2 linked regions of the Yarrowia lipolytica genome follow. The protein of the gene in region 2 binds, or shares a complex with, the protein of the main gene of each other region. Links are inferred from orthologs where the notes say so. Each region holds a gene or a part of one and is shown on either strand. Other genes may lie near its edges. The genes, in order: YALI1_B27485g and YALI1_B14993g.

Evidence for each region.
Region 1: YALI1_B14993g (region 2) and YALI1_B27485g share a complex: the UniProt entries of both Saccharomyces cerevisiae proteins name them as parts of the large ribosomal subunit. The link is inferred for Yarrowia lipolytica from reciprocal best matches to the Saccharomyces cerevisiae genes RPL38 and RPL28.

Annotation. Positions count from the first base shown.
Region 1 is NC_090771.1:2,744,669-2,752,410, reverse strand, and holds YALI1_B27485g (60S ribosomal protein uL15), read right to left. Parts: upstream 3,881-7,742; coding exon 3,832-3,880; intron 3,493-3,831; coding exon 3,092-3,492; downstream 1-3,091. Other genes in the region: YALI1_B27500g (uncharacterized protein), read right to left, coding at 489-2,351; YALI1_B27460g (uncharacterized protein), read right to left, coding at 4,430-6,379; YALI1_B27454g (uncharacterized protein), read left to right, coding at 6,968-7,742. UniProt on the Saccharomyces cerevisiae protein: Component of the ribosome, a large ribonucleoprotein complex responsible for the synthesis of proteins in the cell.
Region 2 is NC_090771.1:1,495,769-1,502,930, reverse strand, and holds YALI1_B14993g (60S ribosomal protein eL38), read right to left. Parts: upstream 3,606-7,162; coding exon 3,600-3,605; intron 3,551-3,599; coding exon 3,341-3,550; downstream 1-3,340. Other genes in the region: YALI1_B15015g (uncharacterized protein), read left to right, coding at 1,423-2,772; YALI1_B14978g (uncharacterized protein), read right to left, coding at 4,017-5,093; YALI1_B14959g (uncharacterized protein), read left to right, coding at 6,498-6,731, 6,954-7,034. UniProt on the Saccharomyces cerevisiae protein: Component of the ribosome, a large ribonucleoprotein complex responsible for the synthesis of proteins in the cell.

The sequences.
Region 1 (7,742 bases), about 1.2 Mb from region 2:
TTAGATGAAGTAGTAGCCTAATTAGTTGTGTACAATAGTTACATACTTGTAGTGGGAATCCACGTGACCAATGGATTGGCATGTCTGATACTTCAGCGACCCAGCCAATAACTCGTCGCTACGTGTACATATCGCGATTTTATTGTCATGCACGATTCACTCGAAGACTTACATTGTGGAAGCATGGAACACCAGGGAAGATATATAAGTTCAACGGCTATGGGCGATCTTAGCAGTGTGTAGACAAGTCTGAAATTGCAAAGCAATACTTCTGCTATACCTTCATATGAATGCGTACGCTGTACGATTCAGTAGCTACTGTACTGTACATACAATACTAGTACAGGTATCGTACTATGTAGCTGGCTGTATGGCTTCTCATTTGGCGACACATAGTGGTACAGACACATAAAGGTCATTGTCCATTCAAATGAACATTAATCATTATATTACATCTATAGTTATTCGTACTCCTTTTCCTCTGAGCCCTACTCTTCATGCTCGTCCTCTTCCTCTTCATCATCTCCAACGTACTCCACCTGCCACTCGGCAGAAATGTCCCATCGAGAACCAGGAGCGTTCTTAGACACGTACTTGACAAACTTGAGAATGCCCTTGTCTCGGACAAAGATGTTGAGGGTGTTCCACGAGGCCTGGGAGGTCAGAAGAACGGGATCGTCTTCATCTTCATCCTCATCTTCCTCATCGCCCTCTCCTTCACCAGCCTCTTTGGCTTTGGCTCCTCGGTATACAGCCGGGTCGTCATCGGCATCTTCGTCAACAGCCATACACAGCTCGTATCCACCATACTCGCCGTCTTCCCAGCCCTTAGTGGGGGTCAGGCACAAAGTGGCTTCTAGAGCAATGTCAGACTCGTCTTGGGCAGTGGCCAGAGTGAAGTCAAAGCCAGGTCGGAATCGTCGAGCAATGATGTTCTCGGACTTTAGAGCCAGAGAAGAAATCCGCGAGATCCATCGTCGCAGAGCTGAAGATTTGAACAGGGCAGCAACCTCCGAAACCTTGGAAGTAGCTGCTTTGTCAGTGTCCTTGAGTCCAGAGAGAATCGTTTCAGAGTATTCGAAGCCTCCATTCTCGTCAGGCCGAACTGTAACCTCTTCTTCTCCGACCTCAGGCTCCTTATCGGCCTCCTCAGAGCCATCCAGGTACATGTATCGGGCCTTGTGAGGAGGTCGAGCGAGCTTCCAGGGTAGTACAATCTCCTCAGACACCTGGGGCATCTCCTTGGGAGGTCTAGAGTCCTCGGCATCAATTGTTTTCTTCAGAACACCCACGTACTCGCTGTTGAGGAAATCCTTGATCTCGAGCTGCGAGTTGGTGCAAAACAAATCGTTGAGCTGCTTGACGGTCTTGATTGTCAGCAGATGCGGATTGAGGTACTTGCTGAGGTACTTGACGTCGTCGTCAGACAGAAACAGATCGTCATCGTCCTTGGGACCCTCCTTGAGATGAGCAAACTCGTCCTCGGGAACCTGACCGGGAGTTCGTTTGGGGAAGTCGTGTTCTCGAAGACTCTTGCTGGTCAATTGCTTCAGAGAAGACAGGGCTTCCGTTTCCTCCTTCTCGCCCTCAATATATCCCTCCTCTCCAACATCGGGAATATGGAACCAGCCAGAAATACTCATTCGGGGCTTATCAACGTACACCTCCTCGACATCGTGGAACGAGAGACCGGGCTGGATCTTGAATAGAGCCATCTGGTTCCAAGCAGGGGGAATAGAAACGGTCCAGTCGGAAGCAGGCACATTGGGTCGAATAGTGGGGAACAGTCGAAGAGCTCCTCCCCATCGAGGGTTCCATGGCTCGTCGGGATCAGGCAAGTAAAGAATGTACGAGATTCGTCGGGTACCAATGACATCATCGTGGTTGAGCAAGTGGCAGCTCTTCTGGTAAACGTTAATGCTCATATCCTGCTTCGAACCAGACAGATGACCGGCTCCGGTGATGTAGGACATGAAGTGACGGAACTCTCGAGAGTACATGGCATTTCGGAGCTTGAAGAGCGAGGGCAAGGTACCCAGCTCCTCTTCGCTGAGACCAGATAGGTTGGCCAGGTCTCCGGTCTGAAACACCTTGTAGATATCGGTTTCCTTTCGGGTGAAATGTACTCCTTCCATGATTTCCTTTCGCACGCTTCTCAACAGCTCATCGTCAATCAGCTGGGGGATAACTCCGTGCTTGTAGGGTCCCGACTCAGCAATCTGTGTCTTGAGCTCATCCTGAGAGGTCTGGTCAAGCAGTCCCTTGTGGAAGCATTTTTCAACGTCGTCAATGTGAGCACGCTTGGCGTCGGGCAGACCGGTTTCCTCGGGAGCTCGTTTGGTGTCGGTCATGACGGGTACTGCGTTTGTTGTATCGAAGGATTATTTTTTCTGGAAAAAAAGAGACTTGAATTTTAATACCAGATCATGCATGTAGATAATCAGACCACGGGTATATAGCATGTACTTACAGTACATACGATACATTGCAAGTGGTGTGGTTTTTACAGAACAAGTGGACAAAAGAAGCGAAAAAGGGTGACTCTGTCAAAAAAAACCATTATTCAACAACATTAGTCATATCCTATTGGTTGGCGTATTTCACACACAAGATGCTCTGTTCATAATGGCTTGGTACCAGGTATCGGAAATGCTTACTTCTACAGTAGTGTTGCGGAAGTTTACAACTCGCTCAAGTAAGCAAACTTCTCTTGGACAGCAATTTTGAAGGATATCAAGCAACATCGACGATGTCTCTGTGAAAGCGCTTGCCTCTATTTTTATATACCGTACGCATTGTACGTGGTTCCAGTTTTGTGCCAACAAGAGCTGGAATGGAAAACGTTGAGCTTCAAAGTATGTCACAACAAAATCAATCTACAGTACCTACCTACTGTACTTGTGGGCTATAAAAACGGACGACTCTCTGCTGCATAATCGGAAACATTTGCCTCTGAGAATTCTACTGCAAGTTACAGTAAGAGCCGCCTGATTTGTCTTACGATCTTACTCATACGCTAGATTTAACTCTGTCACAATAAATTATGCGAAATACATTTTTTGGGTACTTATTTTACAAACAAGTGGGTTGCTTAGGCAATGAGCTCAACGACACCACCAGCGGCCTTGATCTTCTTCTCAGCGATCTCGGAGACGAATCGAGCCTTGACGATGACAGGGACGTTGGGGAGCTTACCCTTACCGAGGACCTTGCCGTAACCGTGAGCGAGAGTGTCGATGACGGGGGCAGCGGACTCGGAGGCAGAAGAGAGGTACTTGTCTCGGTTCTCAGCGGGAACAAGGGCCCACAGGTTCTCGACGTTGACGACGGGCTTCCAGAAGTGGTTAGGCTGCTTGTGGAAGTATCGCATACCGACCTTACCGAAGTAACCAGGATGGTACTTATCCATGTTAGTTCGGTGGTGGTGCTGACCACCAGCCATACCTCGTCCACCAGGGGACTTTCGGTGCTTACCGATTCGACCGTAACCGGCTGTATGTTAGTAATGTGTTTCTCTGCGCAAAAGGGTATCTGCAAAAGTGCTTGAAGGATGTGGTTTCCTGCCAAGTACAGGTGGTTGGATGGAGTCATACAATCCGTCTGATGCTGATAAATGTGTGCATAAATAACGAGTTATGATAGCCATGACGCTCGCTCTGCATCTCAGACCTTCTTGTCCAAAAAGAATGTTTGTACATCCCTTCCCGACAATCAGTCTCTTTCCTCCTCCTCCAACCTCTGTACCCAGCAGGATATTTGATATCAACTGCTTTAATTATGCCAGTCGATATCGCCACACCATTCGCACTAGTTTCGTTTCTCAATACTTACCGGAAACGTGGCCTCTGTGCTTTCGGGTCTTGCTGAATCTGGTAGGCATGGCGATATGTGTTGTTCAGTGAAGAAGTTGAGACGTGCAGATATTTTTGGTTATTTGGGACCACCCAGCGACGGTAGAGTTTTCACATCCCAATCGGGATGTGACTGTGTTTTCCTTTTGGGATAAATCATGTGATATAACCTTAATCTATAACGTTACAGAAACATTAGATGAGACCAACAGGTCTCAGCTGACAGAATGAGGGGTATGCAACTATCAAGAGCAATCTCGAATGGCTGAGATTTTCAATTTCAGACCAGAGTAATCGGAAGCTGTTTTAGTTGTTCAGTTATTGGAATCAAAGTACGACCTCAACTACACCTTCAAATAGACCCAATTTGAGTTATAAACTAAATCTAACTATATTAGTTGACCCGTTAAATAAGCCCCATATACAGTAATATCTAATTATAAAAAATATAAAATTAAAATAAAAAACACACGTTATATTACAAGTATGTACTGTAGTATACGAGCACACCACACGCACACCTCACTACAGTATGACTCTCATTATTAAAATATGTTAGCTATAAATATACAACGGAGCTAAACCCGCTGCCTCTTGGTATCGCGGGAAACTGGACTTGCGGCACGCTTGGTCTTTTCACAAATGTCCTCCTCACTGACCTCCAGAATGGCTACCGAAGTGATTCGAGACTCGAACGCAATATCAAAGAGCAGACGGCCTCGAGACGCGATAGACGGCTGCGAAATGTCAAACACTCGCACATGACGATCAAGACCAGCAACCACGGTCAGATCCAGACCCGAGGCCCGGGACTCATACTGAACCCCCCCTACAAACCGACCCATAGAGGGCTGAAGAGGAGCTGTGGTACGGCTAGTCTGTAGATGAGGAGGCATGAATCTGTCCACAATCTCTGAGGAGCCGCCCAGAATGCCTGGTGCAAACAACTCTTCCGTATCACTCTCACGAACCGTCAGCTCTTCTTCGTCTTCGTCTTCTTCTTCCTCCTCTTCCTCGCCCTCATTAGGTAAATGGACGCTGGAGAGGGTGTTGAAGTACATGAGAGACTGCTCATCGTCATCGCACCACAGCTCTCGGAAGAAATCAGAGTCCCGAGAAGCACGCAACGAAGCAGAGGGATTGGCGATCAAATCGTCCGTGTCACGAGTCCAGGCTTGCCCTGAAGCTGTCTCTGGTCGTCTAATCGTCTGTAGATCACGGGCAAGAGTAAGAGGAGACCATCTCTGGTGTCGTCTTACAAGAGGACCCTGCCCGAACGAAGAGTATGACAGATTTCCTGGGGCTGCTCGGATCATTCTGAGACGCCGCTCTTCGCGTCTCAGTTCACGTGACGCTTCCCGGCGTGCTCGATCTTCTCCTCCTGTAGTTATCTGGATACGAGGACGCGATAATCCTAATACTCGCTCAAAGTACCGTCTATCGAACGGAGGCCGTCGAGGGGCTTCATCGGAATGGGTATCATCGTTGAGCACGTAGTGGTCTGTGTTGTCTGCATCAGGATCCGGTTCCGTACTCTGGTTCTGGTTCTGAAGTTGTTGCTGTCGAGTATGCTGTCTTCTTCGCATCAGCAACTCGCCCCACAGCGCACTTTGCAGATTATCCCCTCGGGAAATGGATGTGGACGGAATGGGCTCTGTCTGAGGCACTCGGGGGTCCTGGCGCGTTGCTGGACTAAAGAAATCTGCCAGAAAAACACTCCCTTCAGGCATACACACCTTGTGACGCACCTGGCCGTCATAATCCACCAACGACACCTGGTTCTGCGAGTTGGCCACGTAGAAGGCGTCTCCGCCTAACGAGTGGTTCATGTGGAGATGTGTGAGTGGATAGTCGCCAACCTGGATTTTCCGGACCGGCCGGGCAGAAACATTTGTCTGGTAAATGTAGGCGTCTCCATATCGTGACACCGCCACCAACGAGTAGCCTGGCTCGGCATTATCGCTTGTCCCACGCACATTAGTGAATCTCACGTCTGAAATCCAAATGTACTCTTCCTTGCTCGATCGCCACAGGTTCCTGCGGTTGGTCCGGATGATGGCCACCTCCAGAACTCTCTGTGGTCCTCCAAAAGCGACTACTCCTCGCTGAGTAGGGTGGGGGCGTAACACAGACACTGCATCGCCCAGGTGATGTGTGCTGAGCAGTTCGTCGCTCGTCTGTGTCTGGTCCAGCTTGCATTCCCTCACCGTCACCATGCCTCCAGTGGTGCATGTATAGAGCAGATTGTGTGCATAATCAATGGACGCGAACAGCTCTGAGGGGTGAAATACCTCTCTGTGGGCAGGGTAAAGCCTTCTCGGTGTGCCCATCTCCACGTCCAGCACCTCCACACTTCCATCCCTCCGCCCGAGAGCAACGTACTGTCTCTGGTCGTAAATCACCTTGGATACGTGCACCGCGCTACCTTCACTGAACCCCACGTCACGTACCTTGTGGTCACCCGTGGCGAGACTGACCTTGACTTCTTTGAGTAACCCGCTGTTTTCCAGGCACACCAGTAGCTTCATAGCAGGTTGAGGAAACTGATGCAGGGGTGTGGTTGTTCTTGTGATGTTTTGTCTTGAGTTCGTTATAGCGTTGTGTGCTGTTAATCTTGCAAGGTTGCGCGAGCTGGCTGTGTGCTGTGTGTATATATACTCGGCACGTTTTCCTTCCCTGTCTTGTGTCGTGTTGGGCAAGCTGTGTAGTCCAGAGACAAGTCTGTTTCGGTTATCCAGTATCAGGTATGTACTGTAGCTCCATGCACTCTGGGAGCTGAGGTTTAGAACCGGATTTTAATGTTGGGACATGCTCAAACTGACGGGGTTTTGGTAACCCAAATAAGCCTGTTGTTTTAAGAGACGTTTTAACAGTCACAGAAATGGAGAGCAGTATATGTATGTTGCAGGAATGTGTCTGGGTGGTGTTTGTTTTTTTTTTTCTTCTTTCGAGTCATGTGTTTTTATAGAATAACACTTACATAAATTCCTTCTCTTTTTTATACAGCGATATTACCACTCTCTAAGCTGCCTCGCTGCTGCCATTGCATCTGGCTGTGCATATTTTAATATGCATAATCGTTGCAAACCTCCATCACCATACTGTCAGCATCCAACATGAACCCCCCGGAAGGCATCATTATTCCGCCACCGGAGATCAAGGCCAAGATCGAGCGGACAGCCGAGTTTGTCGCCAAAAATGGTATTGCATTCGAGCACCGGATCCGGGAAAAGGAAGGATCCAACGCCCTCTTCTCCTTCCTCAATAATGACGACCATTATCATCTATACTACCAGTGGCGATGTGACGAGTACGCCAGCGGACGAACACGCGAGACAGACGCTAATACAGCTCAGCTCAAGCCCAAAGACACGTCTGATCATCTAATAGAACCACCTGCCTTCGAGTTCCACACAGTGCTTCCACCAATGTCGGCAGTGGATCACGAGGTCATCCACACCACTGCCCAACACACAGCCGAGTACGGGCCGTCGTTTTCTATGCTGCTTGCGAAAAATGAGGCTAGAAACCCCCAGTACGAGTTTCTCAAGCCCTCACACTCGCTGCACAAATTTTACCAGCTGTTGGTGGAACAGTATCTCAAGGTAGGTCAGGCATTAGATGCTGGTTTCTCGGCGCTTCCTGAAAGTACACGGACCAACATTGAGGCTGCTGTCAAGGACAAGTTCTACGCTCTGGGTCTAGCCAAGAGGCGTGCCGAGTGGATCTCCCACACTGAGCAGAAGAACCAAAGGGCCATCGAAGAGGCAGAAAGAGAACGGATTGCATTTGCAGAAATCGACTGGCATGACTTTGTGGTTGCAGAAACCATTGTATTTTCCGACAAGGACAAGACTGGGGAGCTCCCAGCTCCCCTTACTCTTGCTCAGC
Region 2 (7,162 bases):
ATGATGAGTAAGGGTGGAGCGAACAAGGTGGAGGCGGGAGAGATATTTATTGCCCAGTTTTCTCGATCCCTCCAACGAATTTAATACTCGGCAATTCTTCTGATTTTCTATAAATTATTTCCCCTCCTGCAAAATTTTCCTATATTTCTCTGGTTACTCGCATATTTGACGTAGGGTCGAAGACTTGCCCACCTGTGTTGGGACGAAACGAACAGAAGGAAAAAATGGGCAAAAATGGGGAAGAAAACATGTCACAAATACCTTGCTGCCGCTGACTGGGAAACAGCAACCCTCATATGCGCCGCTACTGTGCCCCAGGTCGTTAAACTGCGACTCCGAAGATAGTCCGCATTAGCCAGGCACTCGTGTGAGCACTGAGCATATATTGCCTAATTCATGTATCACGATGCGGCTGTAGAGATTTGAACAATATCAGGAAATATCAGGAAATATCAGTGCTGTGCAAAACACGATGAGGGGACAAACTTACACTTGCGGCATGTGGTTGGCTGCTGGGGTCTTATGGATGCCTTCTGGGGCTTCATTCCGCTCTTGGACTTGCCATCTTACAATCTAAGTAAACATGCTTGTTGATTGACCCTTGGAAGCTAAACCGTGAGAATGCTCCGTACAGGGCGTGATATTGGCGATTATCTTGCCTATTATTGGTGCTAGAGATACAAGGATAATGTTGATCGAATTCCACCACCGAGGCAGATAGGTCAAACTAGTCCCGTACTTCAACGACCATTATTCATTTACCTGGACAAGTTCAAAAAAGGTGCTCCCAAACTGTAATGGCAAGTGGAAGTCGCGAAAATAATTATATGGAAGATTTTAGAACGAATTCCGAGTAGGAAGAAGTTGAAAGTTGAGAGATAAAAAGCATACCATCCTACTCCTCTCAGCTCGTGCAATACTTTAAAGCTACTTTCGTCATGATAGCACTACTATAGCCCTTCACAGCCACAGTTGAAACCGCAACCTGGGCTGTGTCTCACCCAACCGTGTAACAGCAAGGGCCACTCATATGGCTAATAGGACCTCAAAGCAAAATGGAGGTTGAGTTTGCTCTGGGAGGGCAATAAAAAAAATGATTGCAGATAGGGTTAGAGTTCTAAAAAGTGTCAGAGGGCGAGTCATACCCCAAATTGTACACATACAGCGCTGTCAGCAGTTTCTTTTCGCAACTTATCTTGACTTCACCCCAAAACACACTCACGCTTACCACTATAAGTACGAGTACCGTTGCCTCTATTTTTCTCAACAAAACAGAGTCTACGGCCACTGCGCTACGCACACAAAACAATCGTCATTTTGCGGTGATTTCCAAGACAGATTTGTCGGCTCTCGACAGGTCTATTTTACTTACCATAAGTAACCCCCTCAAGTTCTAACTTCCCCCAAGTTACGCAAACAGTGATGGCCCCTCACATCCTTGGCCCCGAGCCCGTCCAGGCCGACTCATCCTTTCTCGGCACACGACCGTGCCCCACTCTGAGCTACCCTGCTTCTTTTGTGGATGAGGTCTCTGCTTCTATTGACCAAGGCCTCTCTGAGTCCGAGAAGCTCATTGCTAACGCCATGAAGACCCGAATCGAGGCTATCGATCTCGAGACCTGCTCTCCTGGATCCGAAGACTCCTTCTTCGTGGCTGACCTCGGAATCGTCTACTCGCAGTTCATGCGATGGAGTAACTGCCTTCCCCGAGTCACCCCCTTCTACGCCATGAAGTGTAACGGTGACCCCAAGGTTCTCCAGCTTCTCGCAGCCCTCGGCACCGGTTTCGACTGCGCCTCCCGAAACGAGATCCAGACAATTCTGGACCTCGGTGTCTCCCAGGACCGAATCATCTACGCGCATCCCTGCAAGGTGGCGTCCTACATTCGATACGCCTCCTCTGTGGGCGTGGAGAAGATGGTGTTTGACAACGCCGAGGAGCTCTACAAGTGTGCAAAGTACCACCCTACCGCCAAGCTGTTCCTCCGAATTGTCACCGACGACTCCCAGTCTCTGTGTCAGTTTTCTGTCAAGTACGGCGCTGCTCTGGAGAACACCCAGTCGCTGCTCCAGCTTGCTAAGGATCTCGGTCTGAACGTGGCCGGTGTGTCTTTCCATGTGGGATCCGGCGCTGGAGACCCCAACGCCTTCCTGGACGCTGTGCGAAACGCTAAGCGGGTGTTTGACCAGGGAGCTGCCATTGGCATGCACCTCAACACTCTGGATGTCGGCGGAGGCTTCTCGGACGATTCCTTTGAGTCCTCTGCTGCCGTTCTGGGGGACGCTCTTGACAAGTACTTCCCAGAGGAGAGCGGAGTTAACCTCATGGCTGAGCCCGGCCGGTTCTTTGTGTCCGAGGCCTTCACCATTGCCTCTCATGTGATTGCTCGACGAATCATTGAGAACCAGAACAAGGCCATGCTCTACCTCAACGACGGTGTCTACGGAAACATGAACTGCATTCTGTTTGACCACCAGGAGCCCGTGCCCAAGGTTCTGACCTACCAGGGCAAGTTCATGTACGGTGAGCGATACCAGAAGCAGAAGTCCTCGCAAGACGTTTCTGTGTGGGGCCCCACCTGCGACGGTATCGACTGCATTTCTAAGTCGTGCCAGCTACCTGTTCTTCTCGATGTCGGTGACTGGATGTACTTCACTTCCTTTGGTGCCTACACCGTGGCAGCCTCCACCACCTTCAACGGTTTCAACAGCGATTGTGAGACCCTGTACGTTTGCTCTAAGAAGGAGGTTGAGCAGTACATCAAGTTGTAAGCTAGCAACTGCGATAGATAGATAGAGCTGAAGGTGATAGCGACTACAGCATAATAAAAGTGTTTTTGTTTGTGGATTAATTGATTAAAAGTTGTGGGGTGAGAAGGCTGCCAATTGTGTGACTGTTTGGGAGCTCTACGTATTACAATACTGTGCGTTCATAGGTGTTGTATTCTTCAAAAGCATCAATAGCTACGGTGACAAGAGAACAAGTCACATTCATTCTGTTGCTTGAATTAGATCCAATTACTTGTACTGTTGATGCATAATGCATAGGAGACCACTGGGGGATGCAGAACTGTTAACTACTTCTACTGTACTGAGCATGCAAACACACATCCAGGTTCTCCTCCTTGCTGAGGAAGTCAGCACAGCTACAGTACCTGTGCACAGACACTTTAGCTACCACGAGTAGATCACTTCCATTGATTTGATTTTGGTGTAGTATACAATGCACAATACATGCTGTACATACCGGTACCCCATCAGATACCGCAACCTGCCACCGCCTCCTCTGGATAATGGATGGAAAATGCTGAATTAATTATCAAATGAGCGGCGGAACCTCTTACTTACCGATCTTGATGATCTTGATAGAAGAAGGCAGGGACTGGACAATCTTGTCGGCCTTGGTCCGATCATCAACGGTCAGAGTATAGAGCATTCGAGGGCATCGGATCTTGAATTTGGTGTCGTTAGCCGAGTACTTGACGGTGACGCTCTCGACGTCATCCCGGCTGCAGGTGGCCAGAAAGTCCTTGATGCTAGTGAGGGTTTGCTGGGTTAGTTTCCGCGTGTCGACACTGCTTTGTAGTGCTAATACTCACAGCCATTTTGGGGGAGTATTGTTGAAAACCAGAGCTCGTCTAATGATTAATACGAGCTTGCAGGTTTGATGCGCATAGAGTTCTGTGTGTAGGGTAACAAGCGAGAACGCTGAGTGGAGGTCGAGTTTGGCTACAAGTACATGTACGGTACATACAGTACTTACTTGTATTTCCTGTTTGATAATATTAATACTTTACAGACTCTGAAGCAACCTTACGGATTTTCCCATCATTTTTTTGGGTAATTGTTCTAAGTTGGTCACGCGTTCCAACGTCAGCTATGGGTGCCAGTGTGACTGTGACCATTGGCCTCTCATTCATCTCGGTGCCTCCATACATCACACAATCGCCCAGAACCCTGTACCTTTTCAAGTCGATGCTATAATAATGCATTAGTATAGTTATTTTGGGCAACACTTACATTTCCCATCCCTTCATGATAGAAATGAGCTTGGAGAGACCCTCGATGGAGTCCAGATCGGGACCTCTTCCAGGCGTAAGCGATGTGTGTGCAAAGTCTACAATCTTAGCCTGGTACAGAGGTCCAACCTCTTCCTCTCCTTGATTATTAAGCCGGTCATCAAACGCCTGCAAGTCAGACTCGTAGATGATTAGAACAGAAGCCGAATGCATTCGCATTTCAATGCGGCGGAAGACCCGTCGAATGTAAAGCAATTCCTGAATGATGACGGAGATAAGTGCCGAGGCACGGTCGTAGCCAAGATGGCTGACAGGGAACATGTTCTTGTTGAGACATGACGATATGTCCCCATCTGTCAATGACCGACCGTACTTTTTGCCATACTCAATGTATCCCGAGTCAGATGGCACAATGCCTCTTTCCGGATCTCCAGGCTCCTTAGCAGCCTCTTTTCCAGCATATATCTGCATTCCGGCCACTCTCATATGCAAAGACCCTGACGTTGTAGTTTCGCTGACTTTTCTCATTCGCTCCTGCTTCTCCGGGGTCGCCTCATCGTCCCACAGAATGGCTCCTAGCTTGATATCCACGACGGAGGGCTTAATGAACCCCTTGGTGAGGTTCTCCAGAACAATGGAGGCATTTGAGGGGTGTAGCGGAGCTTCCTGGCCCCGTCCAACGGAGTGGGTCTCTGGTTTCGATAACGATGCAAGTAGGTTGTGTTGAGTAGACGACTCCGTCACTAATTCAATCCCCTGTCCATTCTTGTTCAATCGCTGTTTGATATCCTCGTAACTCAAAGACGACCCGTCTCCTCCTGCATCGCCCGCCGCCGACTCATGCTCCATCAGTGTGCCCATGAAAACGGGAATCACGCCGGCAAGGTCAGCCGTAGGGGCGTCCGGATGCTGCTCGTAGGCCTCGTCATCCAGGCCCTCGGGAATGCGAGAGACGCCAGCCTGAACATGTTGGTAGAATGCAATTTCCTTGGGAAGCGCGCGCTTGACGAAAATGTCACGTGACTCGTCCTCTAACGCGCCCTCATGGCCTGCCGCTTGTCGTACCGGTTGCATTAGGTGTCGTTAGAGCGGAGGTGGTGGTGAGGTTTGGTGGTTCTGGTATATTGGCTATTATAGCTTGTAGCTATTTTGAGTACGTATACTGCAGCGCAGGGGACAAGCTGATGCATGTCAACTCTGTTGAGGGGTGGGGGCTTGTGCCGATGGATTGAGGATACAAGAAGACGATTTTGGGAAGTATTAGGAGATGGAGAGTTCACCAAAGATTAGTGCTTATTTGGAAGCCTTTAACGGCCTTTACATCTCCTGTTCAACCGCTCCAATACACACTTGTATGTTCAACTTTCAAGGCAAAGATGTACAAGGTCAACCCTATATTTCAGTGATCAGCGGGGAGCTTGTGGGACGAGGAGGTGATGGTGAAGTCGGTGATGATAAAACACGGTATTAACAGGGTGTCAAAATGAGTGTTGGGAGCTTTCATTTGCAATTTTCATATTTTAAACCTCGGCTGCCTCACTACCCAACGACTCTAGTCCTGTGCAGTATCTGTCACCTGTCATTTTCCTCCACTGGCCTATTCTTAGAACGAACTTTTGCAATACGTAATACATGTGGAGAAGACTGAACAGAAGTTCCAAGGAGTGTTTTAGCTCATGCGATTTTGTCTCAGACGAGAAAGAGATATTGGGAAAAGAAAAGCGGAGTAAAGAAGAGAAGCTGCCATATTGACAGCCGTGAGGTACAAGTACGAGACATTATATTGGTATTCAAGCGTGTACTGAATGTCCAAGAATTGGCCCCGTTTTGTCATCGTTTATCATAGCCAATTGGCATGATCTCAGATCCTAATTTTAGTACAGTATGAGGTTTACGGGCGGAGTTCAATATCCGTGTGGTTCGGCTTGTGGGCCCGCCACAAGGTTAATTGTCTGTCACAAGTGCGATACGATAATTCACGTACGTATGAGTATATCGTACTTACGAGTACATATCGTACTTACAAGTACATATCGTACTTACAAGTACATACGGTAACTTCACAATGGACTGGTTCGTTCAAAAAAAAAAAAAAGTATCATGTGACTCGACCCACCCGAACTGTCTTCGTGATAGCCTTAAAACAGGCAATTGAAACGCAGTGGACTGACTGAGCTTGTGAACAGAGCGGTTCAGTACATACGTACAGCGGTTCTTGTCTATGAGTATGTGTTGTGCTTCTCTTTGGAAAAAGTTCTTGCACAAGAACAAACCACACCACACGCAAGCACGTCATCGCAGACATGTCTAACGCGCCACCATACGCCACACTCTGCACGAGTCCCAACTCATGTGAATTTTCAAACGGGAAACTCTGTATATGTAGCCAATAACGACCATTTGAATTTGGTTACTAAGTACATTGATTAGTACATCGTCACTGTCGACCACCAACTGCCCCCGACACAAACCCACAAAATGAGCCGATCTAACATCTCACGAAACTTCTTCTACGTGTTTACTGCAGCCGTCGTCATTGCAGGAACCGCAGCCCTGTTTCTGCCCACAGCCTCCCTCGATAACAAGTCCACACCTAAGGTGACCAAGAAGCCCTCGAAAAAGGTCAAGGACGCAAAGATTGATACCTCCGAGGATCCCAAGGCTCCGCTGGAGGAGTGGTCGCGAGTCGACATCAACGTCTACCTCAACAAGGTGAGTATTGTGTCCAGAAAGATCCAATAGGATCCATACGTGACTGCGCAGCAATCGACACGATAACTAAAAGGCCATTGAAGTATATGACCAGATACTCAAGAATATTGTCAACTGCTCATTGGATACTACCGGTCACTATCTCACTCCTTGTTTCTGCTGGCCTGGCGCTTGTTGCTCGCTTACAGGTCATGCATCTAATATGAAACCTAACTAACACAGCGATATATCACTCCCTCTGAAGAGTCCACCGACGAGGAGCTCAAAGCGCTCATTGCCCAGCTCCAGAAAATCGCAGTCTAGATTTCCATCTCTTGACGCTGTACTTTTAGCCATAGACAGCTGTGGATTTGAGTTGGTCAGATCTGCATCTGGTTACGTATATTAAAATGAAAATATGATCCAAGAGGAGTGAACGGGAAGAAAGAACC